Bombyx mori: one gene and its partner. The protein of the gene in region 1 binds, or shares a complex with, the protein of each later gene. Links are inferred from orthologs where the notes say so. Each region holds a gene or a part of one and is shown in the gene's direction. Other genes may lie near its edges.

Region 1 (2,427 bases):
GAAAGGTTTAAGTGACATTTCGTTTAATACGCGAAATTTATCTTCAGTGTTGGCATCAACAGTCAGATGCTTTTAATTGAACTTCAATTATGTTTACTCCAATGAATTAGCTGAAGATTTTTTTGGATATTTTGTCCAAATTTTAAACTTGAAATGACTCTCCTGTAAAATTGCAAAAACGTCGCTTAAACCTGATAGCCTTTCAACCCGCAATATTTAATTAGTTGTAAATAAATTTTAGTTAAAGTTACTGTAATTTCAGGTTTGGGATTTAATGGTCGGAGCTGATAATGTTCGTGCAATGCTAGGTCGTCTTATACGTGAAGAGTCCCTACGTACCTATCTGTTCACATATGCTCACGTGTACGCGTCACTGTCATTGCGTTCTCTCGCTGACATGTTTGAATTACCACGTCAACGCGTACATTCTCTAGTGTCTAAAATGATCATCAACGAGGAGCTCTTGGCATCATTGGATGACCCGAGCGAATGTGCTATCTTGCACCGTTCCGAACCAACACGTATGCAGGCTCTGGCACTACAGCTTGCCGACAAGGTAGGTGGTTTTGGAATATGATGGATATTTTGATTAATTTAGGATAAGACGTCTGGTGCATTTATATCTAGCGATGTCATCTAGCGTACCGCCACCACGTATAATACTCCTATTCAAACTCTTCTCATCCCCCAACCTATAGATGGGTACAATATCTTCCAATAGTATTCCGCGATATATTTACGCGCTTAAGTGAGATGCTTTGAAGAGCCCGCACTTGATACTAACTAATTAATTGATTCCGCTTACACTTTTAATCTATGCTGATATACTTCATCCAATAATTTTGATATATGTCCTATAATTTATAATTTTGCTATGTATGCTTGGTTTGTAATTGCGAGTCCGAATACGTAATGAAGTCATTCGGGCAATAACCAAAGTAATTGATATAGCTCGCAGAGTTAGTAAGCTGAAGTGGCAATGGACTGGTCACATATGTCGCAGAACCGATAACCATTGGGGTAGACGTGTTCTGGAGTGGAGACCGCGAACCGGCAAACGTAGTGTAGGACGCCCTTCTGCTAGATAAAGCGACGACCTACGCAAGGCAGCTGGCAATGACTGGATGCGTAGAACTGAAGATCGGGTTCAGTGGCGAGCTTTGGGGGAGGCCTATGTCCAGCAGTGGACTGCCACAGGCTGATGATGATAATGACGTAACTCAAGGTTTTTGAGTCCACATAAAGCAAAAGTCAAGCTTGCAACAATCGCGGACTGTCATGGTGGGTTGAAAATATTTTGTTCTACAACTTGAGACTTGTATTATTGCAGGTCGGAAATTTGGTGGATTCGAATGAGCGTATATTCGAAAAACAAGGCTCGTTCTTCCAACGGGGCGGCGCACAGCGCGGGGAGGGGCGTCAGCGAGAGCGGCCGCGTGAGGGCTGGAACCGACGCACCCGCAACCGTCGCCGCGACGACGAACGCGCAGACGACTAGAATTGCTCTAAAGCAAAAAACGATACGAGAATTTTTCTATCACATTTTAATTAATAGTCTCCGTAAATACTACGAACTGTGTGCTTAGTGCGAGTTTTTTAACGTTCTCGATAACATAAAAGGTAGCTCATATCTGTATGGAATGGGATCGTTTGCCTGCGTTTGTCGCTAGGGGCGCTGTTCCAACTGCATACAAAATTGGGTTAACTTTTACTCTATCGAAAACGTTAAAAAATTCGCACTAAGCACACTGTAAACATTGTAGTTATAAAATTAATTGTGTAAAACTCGTCAGCATTATCAACTCCAGACAGTTTCTTTTTCGATTCCAAGAACAATTAATTTCACAAATGTGTATTCATTTTTTCATTTATCTTAAATTTTGGAAAAATAAATCGTGTCACTTGAGAAGCATTTTTATTTTATTTTTAAATAGCGTAATTTATGTCTGTCACACGACCCCCAATCTGACCTAGGCGAGGGGGCAACACAAAGCCGCCGTCGCCCCAAACATGACTTCGAATCCTCCGAACCATTCTGGGTGCTTTTAGGCTCTTCAAACACCGGACACCATTCTTATCGAAAAGTTCGATTTGCAACTTGACTATTGACACAAACTACGGAGTTTCTCACTGAATATTCTCAGTGGGTAATGAATCCAATCCGGTGGTAGATTCAGCGAAGCACTACTCTTGCTAAGGCTTGTGTTAGCAAATTCTCAGGTTGAGCCCGTGAGCTCACCTACCCGTCCGCCCGTAGCTGGAATAGCTTCATAAGCTGCCCGCGAACCATAAAGAATAGAACAAAGAAGCACCAGGTGACAAATTAAAAAAGTCTATCTGAACTCAGCAAATTATTGTTCGAGAACTCACCGAAATAGCGCTAGCTGTAGGAAGTGGAAATGGTATAAACATAGTAGTTTTAAACAG
Region 2 (2,685 bases), on another chromosome or scaffold:
GATGCGTCGGTACGCCGACGCCATCCGCACCCTCTCTTCTGCGCTGCTATACATGCAACGCACTAAACAATTGTTCTCCTCCCGTTCCTACCAGAATGATCAGATCAACAAACAGACCGAGCAAATGTACCATTTACTGGCCATTTGTTTGGTCTTGCATCCGCAGTGCGTTGATGAATCCATCCAGCAGGTTAGTAACCTATCATACCAGCTTTATCTAGATGACTTAAAATATAGTGTATGTACTAATTATATTATATTCATACAAATACAAATTCTATATCCAGGTGCTTCGAGAAAAGAACTACCATGAGAAGATGTTTAAAATGCAATATGGAGACCTAGGTGAATTCGAGAGCTGCTTTACTTTCGCGTGCCCCAAATTCTTATCGGCGTGTCCCCCGCCCATTGAACCCGGTGCCAACTATGGCCGTGATGCTGTCAAACACCAGACCCAAGTCTTTATGGACGAGGTAATATTAGTGATAGTATTGTGACATTATCTATCTATCAATTTAAACAAGACTAGTTTGGTTTATTATACCTCTTCTTCATTTGACTCCAACAATCTCTATTCATAGGATGAGAGTCAAGCTTAATTAAACCTGGTTGAACGATACCCAACTATGGTTTCATCTCATGTTGATTTTTTTTTTTCGGTCCTGGGGCCTAACCTACGAGGTCCCCACGCCTAGGGGGCGCGCGAGGTATGTGGGACTTGACGGTCTGCAGGTGTTGGGAGCAGACCGCGGGCCCAAGGAATTTTAGGGCCCTACCGCACTAAACGACTGCCCTGCACTCACTGTTACACCCGACGTCCGATCTCCATCCGGGGTCAGAGTAGGGGGTTCCCACGGTCAACAATACAACTAGACACGCGGCGCCACCCCAAGGACGCCCGACCAACGGGTCGTCGAGGCGTTAGTCGACAACCAACGACGCCGGTCTCCGCGGTACGGCGGCGCTACTAGGCCGCCCGGGCGATGCCACTGGTGTTCCGGGATCCGCTGGGACAGAACCAGCCTGCCGGGTCAGAACGCCATACACCGCCGACCGGGTTCCTCTTTTCCACAGTATGTTCGGCGACGACAGCGACGACGACAATGCGGACTGTTCATATTGATACTTTAACTTTAGCCAACTTAGAGTCTCTTTTTCTCATATCTCTAACGAGTAACCTTCACTTATTATATTGTAGGTCCGTCAACAAAAAATGCTTCCGACCATACGTTCCTATTTGAAACTATACACCACCCTCCCGATGGCGAAACTAGCTGCATTCATGTCTGCTGCTCGCGGCAGTGAGCGTGACGCGGCACGTGAACATGCGGCTCTCGCCATTCACTTGCTCTGCTTCAAGCACAAAATGAAGAACGTAGTTTGGACTAAAGGCCCCAGTGGTCTTGATGGAAAATTCCAAAGTGGTTCTGAGGTAAACAAACCTGTTATACTGCCTATAATTATTATTTATCTTAAGCTGGAATTCAAGTCGTCGTGACCTAAAGGATAAGACGTCCAGTGCGTTCGTATCTAGCGATGCAACGATATACGAATCCCGCAGGCATGTAGCAATTTTTCTAATGAAATACATATTTAACAAACGTTCACGATTAACTTCCACGGTGAAGGAAGTGTAATAAAAATCAAACCTGCAAAATTATAGTTTGCGTAATTACTGGTGGTAGGACGTCTTGGTACCACCACCTTGCCTATATCTGCCCTGAAGCTGTAATGAGTTTGTTTGAAGGGTGGTGCAAAAGTTGTAATATACTGAGACCTTAGAAATAATATCTCAAGGCGGGTGGCGGCATTTACTGCATAGATGTCTATGGGCTTCAGTTAACTACTTAACACCAGGTGGGCCGTGAGCTCGTCCACACATTTAAGCAAAGAAATAAAATAATAATTCAATACTACTTTTCTTTTTCAGTTGGATTTCTACATCGACAACGATATGATTCATATCGCAGATACGAAAGTGGCTCATCGCTATGGTGACTTTTTCATCCGCAAGCTGTTGAAGTTTGAAGAACTAAATAGAAAACTACACCATATTAAAATTTAAAATGGCCATTGTATCAAAACATTTACAAATAAATGATTTATACTAAAATGTCTTTAAAAACTCACAAATTACAAATTTGCATAATTACTTATGGTGTCTTGTCATTTTCTACTACAAAGCAGTCGTACGTCCGGTTTAAAAGGATAGTCATAATAAAATACAATTAGGAATTCAATATCATAAGGATAGTGGCTTTCAAATTGTGATGTCTGTGTTCTAGTAATGACTTAACAACGCACCATCGGCTCTTGGTGAGATAAAAAAATGGGGTGGCCCACAACCTTTCAAATAAATTACGTGAGAGGTGATGATCACTCATGATAAAAAATGTTTTTTTTTTTTACCTACCTAAGCTGAGAGCCTTGAAAAGCTTTATCAGCGTAACCTTAACGGTAGTAGGTGAGCTCACGGGGCTCGAACCTGACGACGTTGCTAGCACGAACCCTAGCAAGAGCCGTGCTTCGCAGAATCTACCACCGGATCGGAAACGCGACCCACTGAGAAGATCCGGCGAGAAACTCAGTGGGCTGTGTCTGAGGGTTAATTTACTCGTCGAGCCCTTCGTCGCAAGCGACGGGTTCGACGAGAACGATGACCGGTGCTTGAGATACCTAAAAGCA

The links. Proteins that work in one complex are often made in the same cells at the same time.
Region 2: eIF3c (region 1) and eukaryotic translation initiation factor 3 subunit L share a complex: the UniProt entries of both Drosophila melanogaster proteins name them as parts of the eukaryotic translation initiation factor 3 (eIF-3) complex. The link is inferred for Bombyx mori from reciprocal best matches to the Drosophila melanogaster genes eIF3c and eIF3l.

The regions. Positions count from the first base shown.
Region 1 is NC_085122.1:5,765,304-5,767,730, forward strand, and holds the end of eIF3c (eukaryotic translation initiation factor 3 subunit C), read left to right. Parts: intron 1-262; coding exon 263-556; intron 557-1,330; coding exon 1,331-1,498; 3' UTR 1,499-1,909; downstream 1,910-2,427. UniProt on the Drosophila melanogaster protein: Component of the eukaryotic translation initiation factor 3 (eIF-3) complex, which is involved in protein synthesis of a specialized repertoire of mRNAs and, together with other initiation factors, stimulates binding of mRNA and methionyl-tRNAi to the 40S ribosome.
Region 2 is NC_085117.1:14,766,042-14,768,726, reverse strand, and holds the end of eukaryotic translation initiation factor 3 subunit L, read left to right. Parts: coding exon 1-190; intron 191-287; coding exon 288-473; intron 474-1,198; coding exon 1,199-1,432; intron 1,433-1,930; coding exon 1,931-2,065; 3' UTR 2,066-2,113; downstream 2,114-2,685. UniProt on the Drosophila melanogaster protein: Component of the eukaryotic translation initiation factor 3 (eIF-3) complex, which is involved in protein synthesis of a specialized repertoire of mRNAs and, together with other initiation factors, stimulates binding of mRNA and methionyl-tRNAi to the 40S ribosome.